3 separate regions of the Mus musculus genome follow, and regions 1 and 3 are each reported to be linked to region 2. The links are microRNA targets in miRTarBase. Many come from high-throughput screens and were not tested one by one. Region 2 holds a microRNA gene; each other region holds the end of a gene's coding sequence.
Evidence for each region. Region 2 holds the annotated microRNA mmu-miR-876-5p (UGGAUUUCUCUGUGAAUCACUA, at 2,859-2,880, opposite strand). A microRNA usually pairs through its seed, bases 2 to 8, with sites in the 3' UTR of a target mRNA and lowers its output. Matches are read on the target gene's strand: a 7mer-m8 pairs with bases 2 to 8, a 7mer-A1 pairs with bases 2 to 7 and ends in A, and an 8mer does both.

Region 1 (4,248 bases), not on the chromosome of region 2:
AAGGGAATGAAAGAACGTTCCTCCGGGAGTCGGCGGCCTCGGGGCGGAGAGTGGTTCTGTCTCCCCGCGCCACACAAGCGCTCATCCAGCTCCCCTTCTTACGCGGTGAGGACCCGCCTCTACGCGCGAGGCGGCCGGGCTTGCCAGAGCCGGAAGCCCGGGCACCGCCGCTCCCAGAGCACCCGGTACCGCCCGGAATCCGGGCTCGGGCCGCCGCGGGACTTCCGTCTCGCCGTTGCGGTGGAGGCAGCCCTCCAGTGCCCACGCTCCAGCTTCTGGAACACCTCGCGGTACCCCCCGGGTCCCGAGACCCAGCCGCTCGCACCCGCTGTCCTGCCAATCGGTCTACTGGCCGCGGCCGGAGCAGGTACCCGGGCTCCACGGACGTCACAATTCCCCGCCAAAACGGCACGTCTTCCCCCAAGGAACCGCTCAGTCGGGCGGGACTTCCGGGAGCTGCGTCTGCGTTCCCGCCTAGCCTGCTAGTAGCAACTCCTCCCGCTTTTGGTCGCTCGGCTACTGTAGGCTGCAGAATCTTGCTTACTCAAGTAACTCTCTAAACCAAGATCCGAACAGGAATTTTTGTAATTATTCTTTCAGTATTCTTTAGGCTACCCTTCTCCTAACAAAGCTTTCTAAAGTTCTTAGTGCTAAAAGAAGAAATTACAACAAATTTACCTTAAAGATTTTTCTTAGCATTTATTTGCAACACTAGCATTTTATAGAATGAGCAGCAGATATTGGCCTTATAGACAAGTGACGCTCAAGGAGAGCAGCAACAAAGAGTTACACCTGTGGTTTCAAAGAATCCTTGTAAAGGTTAAATAAGGTGGGGGTGATATCCTTATGGTACTGGCTAAAACAGCAATGTAGAGATTTGGCTGTTATTGCTTTCCCTCTTGTTTTGGGGGTGCTTGGCTTGGGCCCTCTACCCCAGACTTTAGCATGAGTAAATGCCTATTGGGTTTGGTATGTGGAGTCTGAAGAACTCAACAAGAGACCCATTTCTATAATCAATCCCAGCATTTGGGAAGTAGTCACAAAAGGATTATTATAAACTAGCCTTGGCTACATAACTGGTTCCAGGTCAACCTGGGCTATATGAGACCCTTCCTCAATTGGTCAGCTGGTTCCCAAAACATTGCAGGCAGAGGCAGGAGGGTCTCTGTGAGGTAGAGATCAGCCTGGTCTATACAGTGAGTTTAGTAAGAGACTCTGTTTCAAAAAGGAAGGAAGGAAGGAAGGAAGGACCTCTGAACTAGGCATGGACACGTGTGTCTTGTAATTGAGGCATTTAGGTAGCAAAGGCAGAGGCAGAAACAGGAGGACCTGGAGTTGGAGTCTGTGATGGTTTGCATATCCTTGGCCCAGGGAATGGGACTATTAGAAGGTGTGGCCCAGTTGGAGTAGGTGAGTCACTATGGGTGTGGGCTTTAAGACCCTCATCCTAGCTGCCTGGAAGCAGTATTCTGCTAGCAGCCTTCAGATGAAAATGTAGAACTCTCAGCTCCTCCTGCACCATGCCTGCCTGGATGTTGCCATGCTCTGGCACCTTGATAATGGATTGAACCTCTCAATTTGTAAGCCAGCCCTGATTAAATATTGTCATAAGAGTTGCCTTGTGGCCAGGCGTGGTGGCACACGCCTTTAATCCCAGCACTCGGGAGGCAGAGGCAGGTGGATTTCTGAGTTCAATCCCAGCCTGGTCTACAAAGTGAGATCCAGGACAGCCAGGGCTATACAGAGAAACCCTGTCTCAGAAAAACCAAACCAAAAAAAGAGAGAGAAAAAAAAGAAAGAGTTGCCTTGGTTATGGTTTCTGTTCCTCAGATCTGTGACAACTTGGCATTTATACTTCTTTCTGTGTCACAGTCCACTGAGGTCTTCAGCTTCCTTTCTAACGACTTAAGGCCCACAAGCTTGGCAGAAAGTAGCAAGACTGTCCTGGAGCTGTGGCTGAGACACTGACATAGGTGCTGGGAGTGGAACTCTGGTCCTCTGGAAGAACTATACATGCTCTCAGCCACTGAGTCATCTCTCCACCCCTATTATTTCATGCTTTCAATTGATTAATTGCCCTTCAAAAGGCATTCAAAATTCAAAATGTTCAAATTGAGCAAGCAGTCTGACTCTTCCTAGGGAAATATAAAGAAATGTCTGTTTCGCCTAGACAGGGCAAAGACAGACCAAAGAAGAGATTCCAACCAAGTCCAGCGTGGTGAACCAATGAGTTCATTGGTCTTACAGGAGCATGGGTGTGGGTTACTTACAGAGGCATGGATGACTTGAAGGCAAACCATCTAAAATCCCCACCTCCGTGTGGGGATGACCCCCAAAGCTGCACCACTGCATTCTGAACCCCAATCAACTGCCCACCTCCTGTACAGTCTAGCGTCCCACCTCCTGTACAGTCTAGCGTCCCACCTCCTGTACAGTCTAGCGTCCCACCTCCTGTACAGTCTAGCATCCCACCTCCTGTACAGTCTAGCGTCCCACCTCCTGTACAGTCTAGCGTCCCACCTCCTGTACAGTCTAGCGTCCCACCTCCTGTATAGTCTAGCGTCCCTGAAGATTAGGTGTGGCTGGAGCAAGAGTATGTACAGCCTAGGTCTGGGGTTGGAGACTCAGGGGAAAGTAGCATTTCCCTTTTCCATCAACGAGGAAATGGCAGTAGGACTGATCTCATGACCCTGTGCTGTGGCCAATCACAGCTTCTCTGATTCGAGACAATGATGTCATGTCCTGTCTAGAGAAGTTCTACTAGCCAGTGAAAACAATTTCTTTCCCTTTGACTCTTAGATTCTTAGTCCTCTACCCCCACCCCCCCCAAAAAAACCCCACATCACTTAAGTATCACTGCAGAAGTGGATATATCTAAACTTATACACAGTATCCTTTGAAGATATTATAGGTATGCTGGGCAGCCATGGCTATCCAGCACTTGGGAAACAGAGGCAGGCAAATATCCAGGTTTAAAGCCAGCTGAGGCTACAGACACAGAGAAACTATGTCGTGAACAAAAAATTGTGTGTGTGTGTGTGTGTGTGTGTGTATAAAATTGTTTTTGCCCCTTTTTGTATATAACATTATAAATAAAACACCAAATCTGAGTAATGATTCCATATAAATTTCTTTATTATGTATTTGGTGGTATCAGGGATTGAACTCAGGGCCTCATACATACAAAAAAAAAATGTAGCTGGGTGGTGGTGGCGCACGCCTTTAATCCCAGCACTCGGGAGGCAGAGGCAGGCTGATTTCTGAGTTCGAGGCCAGCCTGGTCTACAGAGTGAGTTCCAGGACAGCCAGGACTACACAGAGAAACCCTGTCTCGAAAAACCAAAAAAAAAAAAAAAAAATGTACTCTGGGCTACACCCCAAATTCTACTTCATTATAAAATATTTGCTTCTTTTTCAAATATGGCTACACACACAATGTACATTGTATCCATTTGTCATAATTTCTTTAATGTTCCTTCCACTTTTGCTATAAAATAAGCCTATAAAAATTAAATTATGCATTTTTTTGGTTTTTAAAATACAAATGACCGCCGGGCAGTGGTGGCGCACGCCTTTAATCCCAGCACTTGGGAGGCAGAGGCAGGTGGATTTCTGAGTTCAAGGCCAGCCTGGTCTACAGAGTGAGTTCCAGGACAGCCAGGGCCGTACAGAGAAACCCTGTCTTGGGGGAAAAAAAATACAAATGACCGAGAGTGGAACTGCTGGGTCAAAGGTAACAGGTTAGTCTTTAACTGGGGGCATCAACTCTTTTAGGGGTGCCCTTGAGTTTTCAGGGTCCTGTGCTTGTTTCCCCTTCTCGATGATCTGAACAGCTCTAAGCAATCCATCCTGTAGAGCCTGGTTCTTTACCATGTTGGTGATCATGAAGGAAACATCTTTGATGTACATCCGTCTTACGTTGGCAGCATAGTGCTCTCCTTTGTTGCCATGTACAATGAAGAAGGTACAGAGTGCTGAGACATCCCTCTCCTGCAGCCCGTACTCCTGCAGGACAGACTCCCACACAAGCCTAACATGCTTGTTCTTGGCTTTTCTTCTAAGGACAGAGGCTAAGGTCGGGAGACTTCTCACCAGGTCTGGGAGTTTCTGAAGCATTCGAGTGTGCAAGCAAATAAGGACCTCGATGACATAGCTGTATACAATATTCAGTTCCATTGAGGTGAACCTATGAAAAACGGGCAAAGCTCCTTAAATGGAACATTTCATGCACAAACAAAAGCTGCATTT
Region 2 (4,248 bases):
CTAAACCAAGAGACTAAACAAGGAGTACACTTGGAGGAACCCATAGATCTAGCTAATATGTAGCAGAAGATGGCCTTGTAGGACATTAATGGAAGGAGAGGGCCTTGGTCCTGTGAAGGTTCAATGCCCCAGAATAGGGGGATTCATGTGCAAGGGAGGTGGGAGTAGGTGAGTGGGGGAACACCCTCACAGAAGCAGGGGGCGTGGGAGGGGGTAGGGAGTTTCGGGGGGTGGGAACAGGGGAAAGGGATAACATTTGAAATGCAAATAAAGTAAATATCCAATAAAAATATTTTAAAAAGAGAAGGGTTTAAGCCTTCAGATTTGAACTCCAGTTCCTTAGTCTACTGGCATCTCCCATTATGTTGTAGACTTGTGTTACTTCCATGATTGAGAAAGTCTTCAAGATAAATCTCTCTCAATATATAAATACTGCTAGTTTCTCTGAATAAAGTTGGCCTAGTAAACTCCTTTCAAAATATATATTTTCACATAGATTTTAGAAAATTTACGAGTGTTTAGGGCAAGTCCAATTTAGAGTTTATGTTCTATCCAAACTACACTTAAAATTAACTGCTTTTCTGTAACTCTGCTTATATGTACTTAAAGTAGGAATAAAAGCATCCAGTAGTATATTAATATAAATACAACTTGATGTTAGACTTATGAAAAGAGTTTTGGATATATGGCTATTTGATAAATTTGGTGACCCTGTTGTTAGGTCTAGTAACTAAAAATCTCTTAGAAAATTCTGTCGCTTACTTCAATATTTACATAGCAACAATACTAAATATTGGCATTAAAACCAAGCTTTAGCTCAGAGGAAATATGATAAGCATCTCTTTAAAAAACAGTAACAAATCACAAAGCTATAGAACAGCTTTATGCCCAAAACCTGTTATTCTGGCTCTATTTCATTTATTCCCTTCTCTAAGAGGAGTGGAATTTTCAATCATAACATGGTTTTACTGCTATGAAGAACATACTTAGAAATATAGAGTATTAAGAAAAAGAAATATGCAGTTGTAATTGAAAATAATGACAATTATAACTGATGCTGAAGTAAAGCCTAAGAAATTAGGATAACACATTCAAACCCTATTTTAAAATTGGAGATAATTTTGTGGGGATTCTCTCCAGCTGCATCATATGTGATTTATTTAAATTACAGAGGCTCAAATAAAGTATCATTATTTATGTAACATATATTTTTATTTTTAAGATTTATTTTTTAATGTATAATGGAAAAACTTTTTGATTTGTTAGGACATTGTAATGATACCTAAACTTGTAAACAAGATGTATTAGCTCTAATATAGCAAGACAAAAATAACTTCAGAAGAGAAATAATAGATTGATTCAATGATGATTCATAAGTAATTTCAGAATCCTGTTCATTATCATTTAGGAATGTAATGGTGTCACAAGAAATCGGAGATAAATACAATCTATCACTACGAAAATCTTGTTGCCATATGACTGAGCTTAGATTACACCTAAGTTCTAGCCTTCAAATAGAAGAGCTCATATACCAAAACTAAACAAAATTTTTGGAGCTTATACCAGCGATTGAAAAACTAATGGTGAAAGGTTGGGTTTCTGTTTCTAGAATCAGCACATTTAACAACACTAATGAGGGTAATAACCATGAACTTCCTGTTGTTTCCCAGCAACTGGTAGGTAACATGATAGCAACTATACTCTTTAGCCTTGTGAAACTTACTCATTTTAAAGATTATTCTAACACTATGAGTATGTATATGAGTGCATCTGTGTGTGGGAACATGCACATTAGTGTAAGGTCCAACATAGGCCAATAGAGAGTGATAGAGAGTGTCAGATCTCTTCAGCTGAACTTATTGGTTTCTGTGATGCATATGATGCAGGTGTGCAGCAAATTGTACCCTGGTTCTCTTGATGCACAATCCAAGTTCTCAAACATTGACGATGGCTTTAGACTCTTACTAAATTTCTTTGCCATTAAAAGATGACAGAAGCTAAATTTGTAGAGAATTAATGATAAATAATGGCAAATTAAGTATACAATTTTGTATATTTTGGCTAATTCTGTGTCTGTATCATTTGAATAGTATTAAAATTTAGTTACTTTTAAAATTATTTTAAAATAATGATGTTTATAAATTCCCTGATTAATTTCTATTTGAATTGCATAATCAGTAAAGTCACTGGATAAGCTCTCTGTAAAAATGTTTCCTCTTTATTAATATATATATATATATATATATATATATATTTGTCCAAGTAATAGTAACAGAATTAAATTTCAAAATGTTTCACTTATAATTAATGGGTGCAGATGTCAATTCAGTGCTTTTGTTTTGGATCTACTGCATTTTTAAAAATAGGGCATACTGCCAATTGTTGGGGCAGGTGTTGCTAAAAAAAACAAGAACAGACTGTGCATAAATGTAAAATACACACACACACACAAACACACACACACATATATATGTGTGTGTGTATATATATATATATATACATATATATATATATATATATATATATATATATATATATATATGAGATATGAGATGGCCTGGCAATATGTAATAGGCAGTCCTCAAATGCTGCCATCCTCCTGCCTCAGCTTCTCAGGTGTTATATTACAAGCAAGTTACAATATATGTAGCTTAATTTTCCAGTGCTTGACATATCTTTGCTTCTTGTTCTCTAATTAACAAAGTAACTGTTTATGAAAGGTTTAAATCTTATAGCTTAAGGATTTGTTCTCAATGGCCCAATGAAGGATCCTAGGTTTCAAAATACAGATCAACTGTAGGAGCACCTGTGAAGCACTATGAATTACTTTGTAAACCACTACCACACTAGATTTGATATAGTGATTCACAGAGAAATCCATAGCACGTGACAGTTTATGTAATGCTTGTACACATGAACATAAAAATTATATGCTACCATGCCCAGAGTTTGAAAAATTATTCAAGACATCTTTTTATCGTTCATATGGCATTAAAATATAATTTAATTTAATTTTAACAACATTTGAGCAAGAGAATAAACATTCATGAATCAACAGGTTTTATATATATAGTATTATAATATATACATTTTTAATTGGTAAAATAATAAGAAACACTGAAAAAATCTGAAAAATACATAAAACCAAATTATACTTTCCGTATTATGTATCAAGGTAGATCAATTAGAGGAATGAGCAAGAACAACCAAGAGATGAAAGAGAAGTAAAATGCCCACTATGCTCATAGAATTGAGATATGGATATTAATATAACCTGTGGGAGGAGAGAAGTAAAATAAGGAATGACATTTCATACGTGCATCTCACATTACAACATACACATGATGTGGTTGTTTTGCTCTAAAAATAGTCTCAGTTAGCCTACATGTATTTTGCATAAGTTCTTAGATTTTATCTGATTTTTTTTCTATCTTAAGTTTGAGTTCTGCATGTGATTGGCTGAAACTCTCTGAGGCTACTTAAATATATGTTAGTTTCCTCACTAGGTTCAGCTTTGAGAAACAAAACAAAACAAAACACCAAAGTAACTGAAAAAAATCTCTAATGGGCACTGCTTTAATAAATTCACAGGAATGAAACATCTTTCGTTTTTCTCCTTTGTTATGTTTGCTTCAATGGTAACATTTATCTAAAGATTTAAAAGAAAACTAGAATTTTAATTTATGATCATTAAAAAGAAAATAATTTTTAAATTTTAATGGACTAGGATTATATCTCTCAGGCCATCTATGGATTTGAGAATTTTGACTTTTTGTATGTATACCATGAATGTCAATAATAATTAACATACAATATTTTTCAGAAATTTGCAAATCTAACATCTTAGTGTGTTCAAAACTGTCACTACATATCACTGTGCATTCCCAAGTAAAACAGGGAAGTAAGGCCAGACTGGCTGGCTAAGCAAGGAAAAACTTTAAGTGGAAAATAAATTGTAAAATTATTTACACATTCATATATACTTACCGTATGGCTGGTATATGACGTACATAATGCTTGCCAGGTATAAGGAAGTAAATGCAAACCCAATACATACCCTAGCTTCAAGAAACAGATAAAACAAAATAAATAAAACCAACAAGAACAATTGTGTTCCTTAAAAAGGGTCCACATAGATTGCTTTAGAGTCCACATTATCCAGTCATAGCAGGAGGTTTCTGTGAGAAATTACTTAGTTGAAAAATTGAAGGTACAATACAATTTAGCAATGAGGATAGGATTAGAACA
Region 3 (4,248 bases), not on the chromosome of region 2:
AAATATAATTTATTTTACGTGCGTTAGTGTTTTATCTTCATGTCTGTGTAAGGGTGTCAGATCTTGGAGTTACAGAACATGGTTAGTTGCCATGTGGGTGCTGAGAACTGAACGCAGGTCCTCTATAAGAGCAGTCAGTGCTCCCAACCGCTGAGCCATCGCTTCAGCCTCAGCCTTCGGATTTTTAGCATGCTCTTTCAAAGAAGGCCAAGGGCTATTTGGTGTCCAAATAGCAAGAGATAAGCGATCAAAGACTCCAAAGGCAAGTCCGAACCAAACATTAAAAATGAGAAAGATCAGAAAGGACCACATCAGAGACATCCATCACCGGGCAGAAGTCAATCTCGAAGATATGAGTGTAGAGCTAGGAGAGAAAAGGTGGGAACCAAGCAGGCCACTCGAGTGGGTATGATGTCACCAGGATGAAGCCCCACTGTCACCAACTGGAGAAACCTATCTGCAGGAGCAGCGCCATGAACAGGTGTGCCAAGTCAGCATTTTCACCCTTCTCTCAAGTTGCTTGCAGTCACATCAACAGATCATAATGGCAGAAATAAAGTGTTCCCTCACTCCGGTCTCCTCCAGTTACGGAGTCTGACCACCGCCAATGGGAAAGCTGAGAACCTTTCATCATGGAACACATTTGTGAAACGCATTGGCTTTAACAAACTGTTCCCCACACACACCTGGCCTGCATGGTCTCCTCTGACCAGCGCATGCTATATCATATTCAGAAAGTGCTTATAGGCTCCCACTTGCATGGAAAAACACCAGCAGCTGACAGAAAAATGAAACCCCATCTTGGCTCTGGAGAAATGATCCCATCAGGGAAACGCATAAGGCTATTTGATGAGATTTAATAAGCTCTAACGAAATCCAGGTGAGGGGCTCTATCTGGAAAACCCCAGAAGATTCTTATGAACAGCTCCAGGAAATCACTCAGGAAAGGAAACGGGATGCAAAACCTTGCACCACCACAGTAAAAGAGCAACCAGGATTCAAACTCCACGAATGGAGAGCTCTCGTATAATCCGGTCGGAAGATGCCTGGCTCCAGTATCCTGGTTTCTCTCATTTGTGCTTACTGAGTTTTATATAGTCACATAAAACCATATGTGTACATGTTAAATGAAAGTAGAAGGGAGAATGTATGATGCAGGGGGAGGGGGGAGAAAAGAAAGTAGAATATATATGCATACATATATATGTATGTATTCAAAATGCAATATAGAAACATATTCTATAGAAATAAAATCTCAAAAAGTCTTGAGGTTGAAAGACTTTCCATTTCCCTCCATCCCCTGACACCTCACACTTGGTCTTGGATGTAATCAACTTTAAAATACCTCTTCCCTTCTTTGAGACATGTTCTTGTGCTGTAGCTCAAGGTGGATGGAAACTAAAATCTTCTTTCTCCATCTCCTGACTGCTGAATTACAAATGAGTACCACCACACCTGGGCCAAAACATTACTTTTAATTCTACATCAAACACACACTTGCATACACACAATTGTAAACAAGAACATCACAGAGCCAACCCTAAACCTATCTAGTCTGTAATGTTCTGAAGGCGGGACACAAGGGACACCGTTCCTACAGTTTAAGAGAAGCAATTCCTCATCCAGTAAGACCTGCTATATTTTATGTGCAGAGGCAGAAATCCATGTCTGCCACTCAGGAGAGCATGCTTTGCCATGTGCAACTACTCAGTGACATATAGGCACGCTGTTTATAGAGCCCTAGTGTGCCCTTATTGGCTTTAAGTTTGAAACCCTAAGCCCCAGTATGTGTCTCTGCTAAGAATAGGGCTCTCCAAGCCTACAAATGTTGAGAGAGCCAGGAAGGGAACGGCTCCCACTGTGGGAAAACCCAAAAGATGGACCAAGGCCACAGCCTGAGCAAACAGAGCCACTGAAAATGCTCAAACCACCTGCAAGCTCTGTCATAGAGCCCAGGATCCCTGAGGACATTCTGTCCTAAGCTCCCAACACCTCGGACACAGGGCTGACCCCACTCAGAGGGGGTTACATGAAATAAAGTGCCCATATTAGGTCCTTCAAGGGAGGTTTTAAAAGTCTCTGGCTAACATCCAACTCAATTCTAAAATGAATCTTCAGTCTTGGGGAGGAATAAGCGAAGAGCTGCAGCTTTGTGGACTCTCATGGTTTTTCTATTCAAACTCCACTGCCAAACAGCTGTGAAATTAAACCAGCACTCCTTGATGGGCTTCCATGAAAGAGACCACCCCAGGGGCAGGGGCAGGAGGTGGGCCTCAGTGGTGAGAGCTTGCTTGCATATTAGAGAACATGGGTTCTATTCCCAACCCCTTGCATTGTATACAAATAAATGAAAGAAACACGCACTCGCGTGCACACACACACCCCAAAAACAATGATCACTCAAAGTCATCAACTTTGGGCCACTTTTTATCATAATATATTTGCCAATATCTAAGGGATAGATGGGCAGGGGGTAAATTTTCTGTTCACAATCCTTCAACAACATAGAGATGGCTGAGGGACAAGCACATTGGTAGACAGCAAATGCCGCTTTCAGCCTCCCAGGCAAGTGGTTTTAAATACATAAACAATAAAGGTATGATTTCAGTAGATCTCTGTTTAAATCTATGCCGTCTCTTATTGCCCAACCCTCCTCCCATTTCCCACACAGAAATAACAAACCCAAGCGAAGAGTGCCACCACATCTTACAAACAGGTCACATGTGTACAAACAGGTCAATGGTACAGATGCAATCCTTTTCTATAAATACCTGGAGCAAATGGGAACTCTCTCATCCCTAAGGACCTATCCTTGCTCCTGCTCAGTTACTGCTCAGGTAACCATTCCTTAGCTGGACACTTGTGGGGTCTCCTGTGAGTACCAGAAGCCCGTCCAGGACTAGGTAGAAATCCTGCCACCTCCCCACAGAGAAGAGATGATAGGAAGATAGGACCTGGGGCTGACTAAGCTGTTTCTTCCCAAGAACTAGAGACTGTTTCTTGGCAATGGCCCAGAGGGGTGGTGGTGGCGCACGCCTTTAATCCCAGCACTTGGGAGGCAGAAGCAGGCGGATTTCTGAGTTCAAGGCCAGCCTGGTCTACAAAGTGAGTTCCAGGACAGCCAGGGCTATAAAGAGAAACCCTGTCTCGAAAAACCAAAAACAAAACAAAAAAAAAAAGAGAGAGTGTGAGGAAGTTAAAAAAACAAAAACAACCTCTGGGTACTTTGATAGGAAAAAAGAAAGAAAGCTTGATAATCAGTGGAACCCTGTCAAGCCAATATATCAAATTCACCAGAGGGAAACCATGAGCGCTCCCTGTAGGAAGATCATAACTTAGCACCAATTTCTTTTGACTCTGGAGTTTTTCCTTCTCCTTCCAGCCTGTGGAGGGACTGTGGGGCTCAGCTTAGCCTCATCAATACTTTTAATCAGTAACGAGTGTGAGGGGCACATGGTCACACGCCAGAGAGCGAATAGCAGCTCACACCAGAGAGGCAGCTTCCCTCGTGTGGATCATGCTGCCATGGGGGGAACGTGAGGGACCTCAGAGTCTCTTCCTGGCCACTCCGGGCCGCCGGCTTTACTCAAAGCGACGAAGGTGGTTGTAGAGCGACTGCACATAGGTGAAGACACACATGGGGTCCGGCTTGCGGCCCATCACCATCATATCCTCCACTTCAATGAGGCGCTCACAGTTGGCCAGATTCCTGAAACACAGAAGCCCCATCAACACATGGTCCTCGTGAATAACCAGTGCCACAACTGAGCTTCTATTAGCACTCTCCCCAAACTCAATTCGCCTTGAGTCTGTGGTGCTCAAGTGCACACCAGAAGGGAATTCAAGGTCTCCAAGAGAACCCTGGGAGCTGCTGAGTCCGTGGGGCGTTGCCCAGACTCCCACAGACACAAACCACGTAAGCAGTTCACACGGAAGTAAAGAGATGACACAAGTCAATATCTCGTGACAATTGGCAAGAACTGTGAAAGCAAATGTAAAATTGAGGCAAAATGATAACTTCACCCATCTGCTTCCTCTCACTGTATGCTTGGTTTTTATTTTATTTTATTGTTTGTTCTCTGTGTGAAGCCTTGTCTGTCCTGGTACTTGCTCTGTAGACCAGCCAGCTTCAAACTCACAGAGATGAACAGCCTCTGCCTCCCAGTGCTGGGATTAAAGGCATGTGCCACCACAGCCCAGCTAGTTTTGTGTTTTTGAGGTGGGAATTTGCTGTATAGCCCAGCATAG

Region 1: miRTarBase lists Smco1 as a target of mmu-miR-876-5p. Seed matches in the 3' UTR shown: 8mer at 3,606-3,613.
Region 3: miRTarBase lists Smtnl2 as a target of mmu-miR-876-5p. Seed matches in the 3' UTR shown: 7mer-m8 at 3,071-3,077.

The regions. Positions count from the first base shown.
Region 1 is chr16:32,273,651-32,277,898 of GRCm38, reverse strand. Smco1 (single-pass membrane protein with coiled-coil domains 1) reads right to left here. Exons shown (of 3, transcript NM_183283.3): 3 at 3,118-4,186. The coding sequence ends at 3,742. Rnf168 (ring finger protein 168) reads right to left here and starts at 438. Exons shown (of 6, transcript NM_027355.2): 1 at 1-438.
Region 2 is chr4:36,642,564-36,646,811 of GRCm38, forward strand. It overlaps Mir876 (microRNA 876), which reads right to left and starts at 2,890; the gene lies at 2,810-2,890. All of the region lies in intron 2 of Lingo2 (leucine rich repeat and Ig domain containing 2), which reads right to left.
Region 3 is chr11:72,387,705-72,391,952 of GRCm38, forward strand. Smtnl2 (smoothelin-like 2) reads right to left here. Exons shown (of 8, transcript NM_177776.3): 8 at 2,410-3,709. The coding sequence ends at 3,583. Mir6338 (microRNA 6338) reads left to right here and starts at 1,052; the gene lies at 1,052-1,160.